3 linked regions of the Solanum lycopersicum genome follow. The main gene of each other region encodes a partner of the protein of the gene in region 3 in a complex. Links are inferred from orthologs where the notes say so. Each region holds a gene or a part of one and is shown on either strand. Other genes may lie near its edges.

Region 1 (4,704 bases), on a different chromosome or scaffold from region 3:
AACAAAGTATCTAGAATAGTTTGACCAAGAACGGATATTACGAGCATTATTGAGATCATTGTTTCTTTTGATTCATAAGTGGGTCCAAAAATGAGATGGGAAGTTACATTTCTATGAACTTCATAAGAAAAATAGTTGGCATGCAATAATTTTTCGAGTAATTAACACATTTTTTTAAAAAAGAATATCCAGTAGATCGTCTAAGTAGCTCACTTAGAGAATGTCGCCTACGACGGTTTGACTACATCCCACATAAACTTCCATATCCATATAGGTGATACCAACTAGATAGGATGCAGTCATTGAAGCATAGTTGTTGCTACGCTTGCATAAGTGCTTGTCAAGGGTCTTTTTATTCTTGTTGAAAACTAGTATATCCACGTAGGGATAAGGGTGATATTTCACATCTTTAGTTTGCTACGGTTCCCTGCGGTCCAAACCCGGTGCCGCTTTAGGTTAGGGAGCTGGACGATACCTTATAACACGAATTATTAGATATTGGAAAAAAATTGACCTAACAGAGCACAATGGATGCTGAGGATACATAAAGCCACCCAAACTAATGTAGGATTAATTTATAGTTGATTGACTAATTGGATCAACTCATAGAGGGAAAGAAAGAATCATTTCCATGAGCACAAAGAGATGGAACAAAAAAATTATATTCAGACTTGTCCACCACCGACCTCTGACCCAAAAAGTCTACAGGTTAAGTATGCAGATATTGTTTAAAGGCTTCAGTAAATCAATAATAAGCAATTGAAATACCTGTAACAAGATGGTGCAATAACATCAACCAAGTCATTTGCTGGTAAACAGAAATAGGGAACCTGCTTAGTGAAATATAGATCTGAATAAACAGCATTCAAATAAAACAAAAGATACGAAAAAGAAGATGCTATTTTACCTCTTCAATATGGCCATCCAAATGCTTCAGATGGACCTGTTGAAATGTAGAGCTTAGACAGATGCTTCAACTGATTAGAAAACTATCACATGCAATTCAATAGTATATCCTTTAAATCATAGTAAAAGAAGAAAGCTATAATATGGTTTACAGGATTAACTGTCAAATGTTTTCATCTATAAGGTGATGAAGCACATGTGAGCTTAATTTAGTCTTTCTCATTTGCAAGATCCTACTTATTGGTAAATTTCTGATCCAACAAAGGATAGTAACCCTCCATCAAATTCAACACGACACCAGCGGACGAGGCATGGTACTTGAGATATTAATTTGATTTGTGTATTTTATAGGTAGTAGTTGAGGAAAATTTTAAAATATTTTTGTAAACGAAATTAGGTTGACATAGAAATGCCAAATCAAACCTTAATAATTTGACTATTCAAACATATTAAAATTTGAGAAACTGATGAAGTTGTATAAAGTTATATTGTTAGTAAGATGGTGTCAAAGATTTTTGTACGCCCAAAATAAAGATGTGTCATATAAAATTTATCAGGATGGAGACAATATGATATATTGAAGTGCATCTTCATGAGTGAACTTACCTCACCAACCAAATGAAAACATATTCTAGAAAAGCACCCTAGTTATCAGACTAAGAAAGGCTGTTTACTGATGTTTTAGAATACAACAGAAGCAGAAAACATATCGTCATGACAAACACAGAATGTAGAAGTTGGTTTCCTTGTTCTTATACTTGAATGGATAGAATTCCAAGATCACAGAGGTTATGCATAAGTTGTCTCACAATGAAGCTCAGCTTGTCATAAAAGAGTAACAGGAGCTTACTTTTTTTTCTTTATGGAAGAAATATAACAGTAGCACACCTTGTAGTCTTGCATAAACTCATAGTGGAGAACTGTTTCAGGTTCACTGCTAGCAGCCTTCAGAAATTTATCTAAACCTTCTCGTGGTCCATTATCCACTGTTGAGAAATGACAGTTAGTATAGGTCTATATTGACTAAAAATATCTAAGAGGGGAAAGGAGATTCTAATAAAAAGCAGTTTATAGAGCATCCCTCTTACTATATACTCCCTCCATTTCAATTAATTGTCTTATTCCTTTTCAGTCCGTTTCGAAAAAAATATTTCTTTCCCTTTCCTGAAACTCTATAATTCCAACTTTCCACATAGCCTGTTTGAAACCACGAGTTAAGAGGTATTTTGGTACATTCTACATATTTATAGTTTAAGAGTTAAGACCACGAAATTCAAAAAGTTTTCTTTACTTTCTTAAACTTTGTGACAAGTAAAAACCACACAAACAAGTTGAAACAGAGGGAGTATCATAAAAGATTCCATTGAATCTTTGTCCAGTTTGTCCACTTACTATATGTCTTATTTTCTCTCCCTGCTTCTGTGGTGGACAAACTGAAAAAATTAAGTTGACTCTTTTTTGAGATACTAACAACAAACAAGTACTCCTACTGGTGATGTTAATAGATCAAACTTTTTGTTATTTAATTTAAAAAAAGATCAAAATTAGATCTCCAAACACACGTAATTACAAACATAATCAAATTTCAAGCAGTTGGTAGTTATATTAGAATTGATCAAAGATGTAGGAAAGGAGTCTATGAATACCACCGACTACTCACCACAGTTAGTGCCTAGAACATAAAGTTTTTCCAGATTCAAATATTGCTCCACTGATCTTAAAGCTGCAAGTTAGGAAATTGTTCTGCTTAAAATACAGAGATGTAAATTGTAATGACAACATCAAGTTTGAAGCAGAGATGAAGAGATCATAACAACTTGGATACCTTGAACTTGGCAGCCAACCCCGCAGAAGAGAAGGCGCTTTACACCAGCTGCCTGTTTCCAGGAAACAATACTGCTTACTTCAACATTTGAACTACAAGTTATACTATACACTTGTGTGACAATCCTCAGTGAAAACTGGAATCTCTTAAAGCCCAGTTTTTAATGCATTAGAGCATGCACGACTAGAAAGTGTGAAATTCCATGATTGCATTGTTATGAAAAGAAATAACAAGAAGCCTACCCTTACAAGTGTGATATGCAGATGGTTGATGCTTACCAAAAGAAAGGGAGAAAGCATTTGGGGAGAAATAAGCTCAAATAGTTAAAATAAAGTCAAAAAATAACCTACGACCTTCAAATGGATAGAGAGGAAAAATTTGGCAAAAAGACTCTGAAATTGTCAGGAAAGGAATTCAGCTCGAACCATAATATGGAACAAATCAGAAAATCAAAAGAGCTTATCTTAATAAAATCCCCGATTGGGGCAATTACAGTATTAGATTGTGGTGGTCTGACGGGGGGAGGGGGGGTGATAGTAAAGCTAATTTGGTGGTGTGGTGAAGAATAAGAAAGCATAGCTACACAAGTTCCAATTACCTATTGAGGAGAGATATGGCATCTTCAATCCATGACAACATGCTCCATTAAGAATTCAATAGAGTTACACAGATTATAAATGCATTGATGACAACAGAACAATCAAAGATTCTGATGATAATGGAAGTGAAAGAAGAAACCTCAACTAAGGCAAGAGTATTTAGATTAGGAGACAGTGTCGGCTTAACACCTTTAGCTGCTATAACTTCCTCTGGAGTCCTATTAGAAACATAAAATTAAAGTTGAAGATCGAAATGGTTAAATTAACAGGTAAAAAATCAACATGAATACAAATAGCTCAGGAATTCCCAGTCACAAACCTTGCCAGGACAGGTCGAGGAGCAAATCGATCTTCTGGATCACTAAACAACATAAAAAAAAGAAGGTAAAGAGTCCATGAATTGCTGGGTAATAAGTAGAAGAAAGAAACCAAAATTTCAAGTGCATAACTCATGTACAGTGAAATTAACCAGGAGGGAGAACTAAATTATTTTTAACCAAATTGGATGCAAGCCATACCTCTGAACACAAATAACAGCTTCCACCATCCCAGCTTTTAGCATCTCCACGGCAATAGTTGTCACTATCCCCGTCCATTGAGCTCCTGAATGCCAGAAAGAAAAAGATAGGAATATGACCAGATGATTCATAGAAATTGGCACATTCTTTTAGTGATCTAGAGAGCACAAGAAAACAAGCAACAGTAAATTGAACTAGAATACTACATAAGAGCATCCAAAGTTGTACCTTCCACAGGCTTAGTTTTACGAGCATACAATAGATTCTCATACACCCCCATATAAATCTCATCCAAGGAATCTTCTTTCCGTCCTCGTCCATGGACAATAGGTTCCAAAGCCTAAAGAAGATGATAAGGAACAGTCAACATCATCTGGTCACTTTACCATAAGAAATACTATCTGTACTTTGAGCTACTTCATATAAATTTGACCAAAAGAGAAGGTCCTAATAGCATAGCATGACTGAGTTGAGAACGCATTCCAAGGAACTGCTACTCGTAGCAAGCACTGAAGTTTTTTAGTGAGTAATCAAATCATTCTTTCTCATAAAAGAACTTACATGCACCCCCTGTCACCCTCCACCCACCAGTCAAACTAAAGACGGAATAATTTTCAAACTTTACCAAGTTCCTTTGGACAATAACCAAAAAAAAAAAAAAATTGTATAGAATTGGGGAAAAAAGTTTGACCTGTCACGAGATTACGTTGTACCTGTAAACTATGCTAAGCTGTATGAAATTATTAAACAGAAGGTAGAAAAAACAAAGAAAAGAGAAAAGAGAAGAGGACAGATGTACACCATAGCGAAGACTTTGATGGAGGTCTATGAATGTTTTCCCATCGCCCTATGAGGA
Region 2 (4,704 bases), on a different chromosome or scaffold from region 3:
TGAAAAAAAATATTATAGCACATAAAAATTATATAAAGTGATTATTTGGAAGAAAGGAATGATTTATATCATGAAATAAAAAAATAAGAATGAAACACAATAATAATAGAGAAGAAGATTCTTTTTAGATAGTACAATAGAGAATTGGGTTGGAGTTGGTCGTCCGAAAATAGAGAACTCTATATTTGGAGAGTAAAATAGAGAATAAGGTTGGAGATGCAATAGGAGAAATTTCTTTATTATAGTTCGACAACACGTCTTCTTATGAACGGGCCAAATTTTATTTTATTTTATTTTTTGCCCAAGCACATGGATATATTTTGCTGGTAGGTAATGGTGAGACTCGAATTCATGATGCCTGTCTACTCTAAAACAAAATTGAATTGTGTGAGCTGCCTATAAGCACAAACCAATAGAGATGAAACATTTTCATTTATATATTTTAGGTCTGCAACCAGAGTACATGCCTGCAATGATTTTGTTAAGTGCACAACACTGCGCTTAGTTGCTCCATATGCTGCAAATCTGAAGATCAAAAAGAAGACAAGACATATCACTGAGAAAGACTGCGAGAGGGGCAGCAAGTGAGACTAGTGGCATTAACCTCACTAGTGACCTCCTGTATGAACTTGATAGAAATGCAATCCCCAAAATTTAAAGATCTATAAGAGATTTCAAACTCAGAAGGATCAAATCTGAAATAAACAGAGCACATTTGAAAATGAAAAATGGAAGACTGGAGCAACCAAAACAGAGAACAAATGAAGAGACGATCAGGGGCATGTCGATAATAGTTTAATACTCTAGCATGACACACTACCAATTTAGTTTCAAAGTGTGTTCCTTGATATGATAACGACACAACATCGTGTAATAAGCAAAGAAGCAGGATAGACTAGGATATTTTAGATGATATCACCTTGCTGTTAAATACTGCTGTAATATACTGGTAAACATTATAGCCACCAGTAATCATTTGCAGTCACAAGGTTTTCAAATTGGTCAGAGGATGCTTGTGTAGCAGTACGAGGATGATCATGGAATTGGAGCAGCTAAGATACTTTGAGCAGCAGGATACAAAAGTTTAATTTTGCTCGAGCAAACAACCAAATGCCTGTACCTAGAAAAGAATATTAAATTGTATAGATGATTATCATTTTATCTTTCTTGTCTTATAGCCAAACATGGGAATGAAACAAACTTGAATTTTGTCTCCCATGAATTTAACAGTTTAACTTAGCAATGCTAGGGTGAGGGAGCTGAAAACATGAAACGTATGCTTTATTTATTTTTTTCCCAATTTCGATTGCACTGTCACCCAATTTCTGCTATCGAAGGAAAAAGATGGGGGTGCCGAAAATTGGAAGTGAAACAAAAATATAACTTCTGATTCCAATTTGTTTGGCAGTCCATTTATAGAAACTCTGTTAGTAGTCTTGCCTTTCTCTGTTTCTCTCTTCCTTACAGATCATGAAAATAAAGCTGCTAAGAAATTCTAATGAGATGCACAGAAGCAGGTCAAATTCCTAGCAAATCATAACACTATGGGTGTCAGAGGAGACGGGCCCAGTCCCGGGTACTGTAAGGGGGGGATAGGGGAAGAGGCAGGTTGGACGGTTGGTCCTTCCCTGCCAGTTCGTATTTTTTCTAAGAAAAGGTAACCATTGAGAGTCATTGCCCAACGGCTACATTGACCCAAAAACCGCTATTTCAGCCCTCCCCCTCCACCACAGTTTTATTTTAACTCCCATGTTTATTAGTTACATCATGACCCTATTTCTTAACTGTAAATAACCCTCCATTCTTCTTCATTTTCCAACAATTCCCTCATTCTCTCTCCAACTTTGCTAATTATTTAAGTGGTGTCAAGTTCTTTTTGTGAATTCTTTAATAATGTGGAGCAACTTTCAAGCTTCAACATTTAATTACGGCTTATGGTTCAATGTTACCAACCACATCTAATGGTTCTGAGAATACTATCCTTATACAGATTATCCAGAAATTTCTTATCAACTGATTTATAACCTGCATTACGGTTGAACTTAATGAGTTTAAGGTCCAGTTATTAACTGATAAACTTGATGTTCTACCAAGAGGTTGGTAAAGTTAACAAAGAACTCCTGCAGTTCAAGTGGAAACTCTTAGTTGATGAACCACTGTCAACAGGAAGCAATTTGCGCATCACCTGAGACATCCATGTGACATTCTAAGATAATAGAGCAAAATAGGATACTTTTCTTGATAAATTATTCACTTCTCAAATCTCCCTTGTGAAAGTGTTCTTGCACTTGGCCCCACCTCTTCTAATACAATATGCAGAAGTTGAGTGTCACTGATAAAGGAAAAAAGATACCTGGGGGTTGGTCTTCCATCTGAGCCAGCCCCATCAATATTAAAAATATGACCTCCTCGAGGCTGATTCTGCATCAAGTTTATAGCCTGCAATAACAAATGTTAGCAAACATAGGCTAACCAACAACGAGAAATCCACAACCTAGCAATGCTTTTACCTCACGACAACATATCATCAAACCAAGAGTATTTGTAGTGACAACTTGACTGCACACAAATCGAATTCATGAAAAACTTCAATAAACAAAGACAGGACACAAGTCGAATGCAAAAGAGCTCACATTAAATCTTCATCAGAAGCTTCTGCCAGGGGTTTGAAGCTATACGCATTCGATCCTGCATTATTGATCTGCTTCATTCTCAAGAATATGTGAGAAACCAACAAAAATTAGAATATCAACATTTCAACATTATAGTTTCTCAATGACAGAAAAAATAATATAAGAATTACCACCTTGCGGTGGAGTGATAAAACAACACTTTATATCTCAACTTTAAAATACATGCACAAAGTTTTCCCATCTCATTTTTACCAGATAATTGATGTGTTAGACTATCCAAATGGAAATCATTTGAGCTATCAACATGCTAATATTTGGAGTTAATAGCTTAAATAGTCACCCAACTTATGGAAATAACTTACCAAAGTCACTGCCCCTTTTTTTACATTCAAAAAAAAACAAAAACCTATTTGGCTGCCATGTCATAATGTAACCCCATTTCAAGAAATAAAGCCATCAACAGCCTCTCTACCTCCAACCTCCAACCTCCACGAGGAAGTGGTAAGATTTATGTACATTCTACCGTCCCCCAACCTCACTTGTGAAATTTCACTGGGTATATTGTTGTTTTAAAAATAATGTCTATTTAACACATGTACCTTATACCCATTTAACCCACTCTAAGAAATGAGTCTACTTAAATGACATGAGAATAATCTAAACCCAGAACATCACTCAACACCCACAAACTTGGGCTCAAGTAACTTCACCTAATACACAAAGTAACAACTACAGATTCAACACAAAGTATAATATATCAAAATTAAATGTTATGGACCTTTATAATTATAGGCACCAACTGATAAGTAGTAATTAAAATGGTAACAAACATGTTAGAATAAGTTACATATTACACTGATAACATAATGTTAAAAAATCAGAATGTTGTGTACACATAACTTCAATGCAGAAAATATAAGACAACATACTCCCTTGCTTCTACTTAACCATTCTCTTTTGTTCCAAACCCTCATCTCCATTCCTTTAGCCTTCAGTCTATTCTCCAAAATCTCCCTACTCTTCAAAAAACAACACAAAGTTGGTGGACATGTATGATAGAGAAACGCAGGATTTCATGAACATGGAATCCTTCTCCTAAATTTTCGTAATTCGTCCAGCACCAATAAAAGACAAAGCCATTAGGATTTTTGGCAAAGAACTAGATGGTGCTCATGACTACACCGCTGCAAAGGGACCTGTTATAAAGAAAATTTAACAGGGCTGTCAAATTATCTTTGCATGTGTACAGTAATGTCGAATGATTTAGTTGAGTGAAATTTTCTTGAACTCAAGTTCATGGGTGTTGATTGATGTTCTAGGTTTACAAGATAATTTTCGTGTCATTTAAGCAGATCCATTTGTTAGGGTCAGGTTTTAATGATGATTTAATGTATGCAGGAATATTATGGAAAGTCTAAGCTATTAATTACTGAAGATTTTCAAGGACTTAATCAAAGGCAGATCTTAGATGACTTCCAAGGAAAGAAGCAAGACTCACGGAGATCACATGGAAGCAGTATCAAGTACTAATCAAGACCCAGTGAAATTACAGAAGTGGCAAAAGAGATATTTGGAAGATTAGTAAAAATAATACAACAGCAGCCTCTTGGATGAGTTGTCCCTTATTGTTGGAAAGGAAATCAATTTCCCTTATCAAGGATCAAATCCTTAGGGTTGCCCTCTCTGCTAATGAAACAACAGTCCTCATATAATCAATCATTGAAGACCAAAGACTAACATACGTTTGTATAAAGCCTCCTCAAAGTGCATTGTTCTACTCTTAACAAGCATTGTAATTCTTAAATGGTTTACTGTGTAATCAAAACAGAGAAGAGAGGAAAAATATAGTTGGTGAGGCATTGTGTCAAGAGAAAAAAAGATCGAGTGTAGACGTAGGATTAAACCTTGAGGGACTTGTACTCATCAACTATTCAAAGTACTTGCATAGAAAATCCCTTGCAACCCAAGGGGACTGGACTAAAATCCACATTGGATCCCAACCGGTATAAAAATACCCAGTGTCATTTACTTATTGTTTTATAACTTGCGTCATCATTTAATTGCCAGTCAT
Region 3 (5,322 bases):
AAGACGAAACGATCAGCTTGAGTAGGTGTAAATGTGAGTTTTGTATACTCTTTGTTGACATCAGTACCATTTTCTTTCGACTTTGAAAGAAAGACTTTTTCTTGACCTTGAAGAACAATCATATCCCCGTCATACACCTTATTTGAAGTCCAGTGTTCTTGCCATCTTGGAAAAACCTATTGCCAACACATCATGAAAATTCTTAGACGTTATGATAATATATTAGCATGATAATATATTGCTAACCAAATATTATTACCTGCCACCAAGCAGGCCCAGGCACTGTAAACTGGAAGAAGTTTCGAGCACTACAAACAATTGACCTGGTCTTTCCTGGTGCCATAGGTACATTAAAGGAACAAATCCATATCACCCACTTCTGATCACCCACGATTGGAAGCTTTGTGTCGATCTCTATTCTGGAAAATTTTCCAATGAGATCTTAGTCATACTATGCAAATAGTTGCAGCATGGATGGAGCTAACATTTACATATAAAACGTAATTCATACAAAGATATAAAGACATGTATACCAACAACAAAGCGAACTTCCATCTATTGATGCGCAAAGCCTTGTACAAACCATGCACCTGGTCTGGAAAGCTATACCTTAAAGAACCCGACTTGAACAGGATATAATGCCCACAACCATAAGAGTATAGATACATAATGCTACTAATGTCTCGTTTTGTTAGCAGATAACAGACTCTGTGAAGTAGGAGAAAGAGAAATGTGATGCAAGCATATCTACCTAAAGATGATTAATTTATACATGATTGCTTGCCTTGATAGTCAAGAAATTTGATCTACTTTAGGATGATGAACTTACTTATTCATTGAGTAACAAGGTGCGACAAATTTTGCAGTAATTTTTGGTTTATCATTGTTCGCACCAGCAAAACCCCAAGGTCCAGATGCCTCCATCTTGAATGGCAAGGGCTTTGCTCTGTCTCGCCTTCCAGTAACCTGTAAAATATCAACAAGTAAGTTAAGAGACATGTGTTGTTGGACACCAAGCAAGCAGCAGCAGTATCACTCTAGTAAAAATGCACATCTATATATACACCGTATTCTGTTATCTGATACATGAAGCCCTTTGCTAATAATAAAGTCGTTTAGCGACTGAAAAGATGAAAGCTCTACTTCAGATCTTTCTGAAATTTATATTTACAGATAGATACACACAACATTGTCTGTAAAGGTTATTTTAAGGATCGTCTGGCACGCTGTTCAGTATCTAGACTCCAGAGAGCCTAATCCTGTCAGCTGAATATGAAGCAACATCCAGAGTCAAAACATGTTATTCAGCATCCACACTCCGGATAGCCTAATCCTATCAGCTTCATCTTTTAAGATGGTAAGATCGAAAAACTATCCATAAATTGATAAAAGTAGCACTGAAGTCATAAGAGTGATAGTTAAGATTCCCATGGCGTACTTCTACCTATTGCTCTCCAAGTATGGCTTTTACCTAATAATTGCACAGAAAGTAAGGTTATGAAAACTTGTATAAAACAATGAGCAACACTCAAAAGCTACACCTTTATACCGTTCCAGATAAAGAGAAAATCCTCCAAGGAACGACCTTATATATGTTTTGGCCAAGCACAGCGAGCTACTTGGCTTAAGAGTTCAAAAGTTCACTTTTTTCACATGTGAAACAGTTTGAGTTCATATTTTCATGGAAATCAAAAACCAAACAACCCGTAGCTTATGAGAACTCAGAACTAACCCTGAAGACTATTCATTTTTAGCATGTAAGGATAAAACCTTAGGTCTGAAAGTGGATTCTTAACTATATTAGAAGCCAAAAAGGAATGAAAATGTTGCAAAAAATACCTTGTGGTGTGCAAAATCAATGTGAGAAGGATCAGAGACGTTCTCCATGAGAGTGTCATAGCCATAAAACAAATCACGCTGAATTGTCACAGTTGCAAACTCAGGCTTATCAAAATCTTCAGGCAACCTACAAATATCCCATTAAACAACAAATTTAAATCCCACTAAAAGTATACTCAAGTCTACCAACTATAATATCTTGATCAACGCGATAGGTAGGGGAATGGGATTCGATTCTTCAACCACACATGCAGGGCATCAACCAAGTGAGCTACCAAATCAATCTCATTATCCAGCAATAGCTTAAATAAAATACGAAGAACATATTTTAAGCAAGTCATTGTACTAAAGATAATCGATTAGTATTATAATATAAACCAAGTCACTATAGTAGAGATTAATATATAATAATATAGCATAACTTCGAACTAGTTTAATTAATTATTCAGAAACTTACATGGGCGGCTTTGTTGCCTGAGCTCTCTCCCATCCATTTTCATCAGGCCAAACAAAGAGTAATCCTTGAGAAACCATAGTAGGAAATCTAGTAGCACAAGCTCTTGGAGACTGAAAAGCTTTAGCTTCAGGTCCTTGAGATGCAGCTTGAGGTATCCTTGTACAAGAACCACATCCATTAAATGACCATCCATGATATGAACACTGCAAATCACCATTTTCATCTAATCTCCCTTCCTACAAACACCCATACATCAAAAACTTTAAAGAGGAGTGCTAAAAACACATATAAAAAGTATCCTCAAGCAAAATCGAGAAGTGGATTTGTACAGATAAAGGAGCAAGACGATGAGGGCATTTGTCATCCAAAGCAACCCACTGAGATCCAGATTTATCAAACCAGATAACTATATCACGATTCAGTAGCTGAAACGGTGTGGGTAAACTCGGGTCGAGATCTTCCACTAATGAAACTGGGTACCAATGATCTCTCCAAGAGAATTTCGACGACGAATCTTGTTCATCATTTTCTGTATCTTCAATATCACTAGATTTTGAATCTAGCTTCTCTTCTTCTTCAGTAGCTGTTGTTGTTGTTGGAGGTGCAGCTACTCTAAGAGGAGATGAAATTAGCGTATTTTTTTTCCTTGTAATTTGAAGAAAATTATGAGGTTTGAAAGGTAGTGAAGACTGTAAGGAAGATGAAATTGAAAGAATTTGAGGAGTTGGTAGTAACAGAGAAGAAACCATTATTGAGTTAATCAATGTTTTGTGTTACTAATACACATATGTTCAAGTAAAGAAGAAGAAGAAGGATTTGCGTGCAAGTTATGAACAATGTGTTTGAATTGGAATTTGATGAGTTTTGTGGTTTGTGAGGGAGGGCCCAGAAAATGAAAGCTGTGGTGGTGGTGCTTTAGGGAGAAGAAGAGACCGTGTTAACGCGGAGTGGTAAATACTTCTTTTATTTGGTTAGAGTTCTTAGGCTTGACTCATTCGAATATGGAATCGTATTTTTATTAGAGAGCTCTTTATTCTCAACGTGACACAAATTCAAATTTGATTAGGTTACACATGATAATAATTGTGAAAGTAAAGAGGAGATAAAATCAATGGTTAAATGTCAATAGCAAAATATTTCTATTACACACTTTCAACTCAAAATTTTAAAAAAATATATTTCTAACATGTGTTTGGAGTAAGGACTAAGGAGTGGAAAAGAAAATGATCTTGAAATGTCACAATATTTAGATAAGTTATTTAGTATAATTTCATAATATATCATATCGTAGCATATTACATTATATATTATTTTGATAAAAATATATTAATATATCCTATCGTTATCGATTGAATGTCATAATCAATACTTACAAGAAAATAAGATAGATCTAAGATCGAAAAAAAGATGAAATAAAATTATTAAACAAAATGAGAAGAAAGAAAAATAAAATTATAATACAGTCACACCAAATTGATGATTATACAAAATAAAAATTTTTCAATGTTATCTAATAATAAATTTAACAATACAGTACAGTAATAAAAGAGTCATTTTCTTAAAAGATTTCACCAACCAAATATGGAAAATATGTCAAAACACGCCCTAGTAGCAACAATTTTCTTCTTTGCTTTTTTTTTCTATTCATAAAAAAAAATCTAGTTCTATTCCCAATTCCCACCAATGTTTTCCTTTTCTTTTACTTGAATTTGGTATGAAAGTAAGTGCCTTCTTCCATTTAAACCAAATCATTAAAAAGAGGGGGGGAAAAAAAATTCAATTTTCCCTTTCTTTTTACCCTCATTTTCAAACTTCTTACTGAAAATTCTAGCCCCGTTCCACGCAGCATATTACATATTGTTGTTTCTGAACAATAAAGCAACATCACACTTACATATCTGAAAATCTCTAAAAGAACAATTTTTCTTGAAACAGTAGTGTCCAAGCTAGATAGGACGCTCCTCGATCACACTCTCAAACATGCAAATTTCCTCCAGAGTTTTCGATAACAATGGTGTCCAGGCCAGCTAGGGTGCTCCTGGATCACTCTCAAACATGCTAATTTCTCCTGAGCCAGTTTCAACAGACTCTCATTATTATCTCTTTTCATTGAATAGAAAGAAAAAGGGGAAATCTAGAGTGACTTCAATAACTAGCAAAACTAATATCTAATCAAGAAAGATGTTATTTCTTAGGGTATGTTTGATGATCAGGTCCAATATCACGCGATCCCGTGTTGATGTAAGGGCCACGAAATGTCGCCTGGGGTGGCAATGGCTTTGATGAATCAATGACTGGAGTTGCCCTTGATGATCTTGACCTGAATTGAAACAATGAATTAGCTTACAATTAAGCAAAACAATATGAAAGATCACCTCTTTATTTATTTGACAAGCAATGAAGTCTTGCTTACGCCATGTAAAACGGAAAGGATAAGCCAGCAGATGCAAAGACTAGCAAGCCTGTGGCAACAATGACATTGCGTTTCCGAGACATCAAGTGAGATGAAGTAGGATGTTTAAGTATCTAACAACTGAAAAAAAGAAAAAGATGAGGAATAAGTGACAGCCGGAAAAGAAATCCAGGAATGAAAACCATTAAACTTCAGTCACAAGTTACAACTCTATAAGAATATTTAAACATGCAGTATATCTTTTAGAATCTTGCTCAAAGCAATATGATTTTGAGGCAAAATACTATCTTCCAGAAAACCAAAAGAATTAATGTCTACACGTAACAGTTCAAAGTTTCTTTAACAATATTCACACGGATGAAGAGATATCAAAGACAGCATGAATAATAGGATTACGTTTGGGCACACCTCAGTACATCTTTCTGCTCTACATAACAGTTCAAAGGTCACACGAACAATATTTATAAAGGTAAAGAGACCATCCAAGATGGCATGAATGATAAGATTCCGTGCAGGAACACTTGCAATATATCATGCTGCTAAGTGATGCAGGAGACGAGGCTTCCTCCTTGGTCACTACTAATGACAACAATGATTTTAATTCATAAACTGT

Evidence for each region. Proteins that work in one complex are often made in the same cells at the same time.
Region 1: lethal leaf spot 1-like protein (region 3) and coenzyme F420 hydrogenase_dehydrogenase beta subunit-like share a complex: the UniProt entries of both Arabidopsis thaliana proteins name them as parts of the SGR1-CCE-LHCII complex. The link is inferred for Solanum lycopersicum from reciprocal best matches to the Arabidopsis thaliana genes ACD1 and HCAR.
Region 2: lethal leaf spot 1-like protein (region 3) and chlorophyll(ide) b reductase NOL, chloroplastic share a complex: the UniProt entries of both Arabidopsis thaliana proteins name them as parts of the SGR1-CCE-LHCII complex. The link is inferred for Solanum lycopersicum from reciprocal best matches to the Arabidopsis thaliana genes ACD1 and NOL.

The regions. Positions count from the first base shown.
Region 1 is NC_090808.1:67,931,872-67,936,575, forward strand, and holds part of coenzyme F420 hydrogenase_dehydrogenase beta subunit-like, read right to left. Parts: intron 4,189-4,704; coding exon 4,077-4,188; intron 3,934-4,076; coding exon 3,849-3,933; intron 3,692-3,848; coding exon 3,650-3,691; intron 3,549-3,649; coding exon 3,470-3,548; exon of another isoform or gene 2,784-3,469; coding exon 2,732-2,783; intron 2,630-2,731; coding exon 2,567-2,629; intron 1,893-2,566; coding exon 1,795-1,892; intron 944-1,794; coding exon 908-943; intron 831-907; coding exon 769-830; intron 1-768. UniProt on the Arabidopsis thaliana protein: Probable iron-sulfur flavoprotein that converts 7-hydroxymethyl chlorophyll a to chlorophyll a using ferredoxin as a reducing equivalent. Catalyzes the reduction of a hydroxymethyl group to a methyl group. Belongs to the chlorophyll catabolic enzymes (CCEs).
Region 2 is NC_090804.1:48,923,103-48,927,806, reverse strand, and holds part of chlorophyll(ide) b reductase NOL, chloroplastic, read right to left. Parts: intron 2,705-4,704; coding exon 2,634-2,704; intron 2,560-2,633; coding exon 2,511-2,559; intron 2,440-2,510; coding exon 2,354-2,439; intron 526-2,353; coding exon 468-525; intron 1-467. UniProt on the Arabidopsis thaliana protein: Required for chlorophyll b degradation. Chlorophyll b, chlorophyllide b, pheophorbide b and pheophytin b can be used as substrates. Belongs to the chlorophyll catabolic enzymes (CCEs).
Region 3 is NC_090810.1:57,602,528-57,607,849, forward strand, and holds the start of lethal leaf spot 1-like protein, read right to left. Parts: upstream 3,135-5,322; 5' UTR 3,046-3,134; coding exon 2,626-3,045; intron 2,533-2,625; coding exon 2,297-2,532; intron 1,967-2,296; coding exon 1,840-1,966; intron 967-1,839; coding exon 830-966; intron 420-829; coding exon 260-419; intron 177-259; coding exon 1-176. Other genes in the region: uncharacterized protein, read right to left, coding at 4,481-4,616, 4,710-4,792. UniProt on the Arabidopsis thaliana protein: Catalyzes the key reaction of chlorophyll catabolism, porphyrin macrocycle cleavage of pheophorbide a (pheide a) to a primary fluorescent catabolite (pFCC). Works in a two-step reaction with red chlorophyll catabolite reductase (RCCR).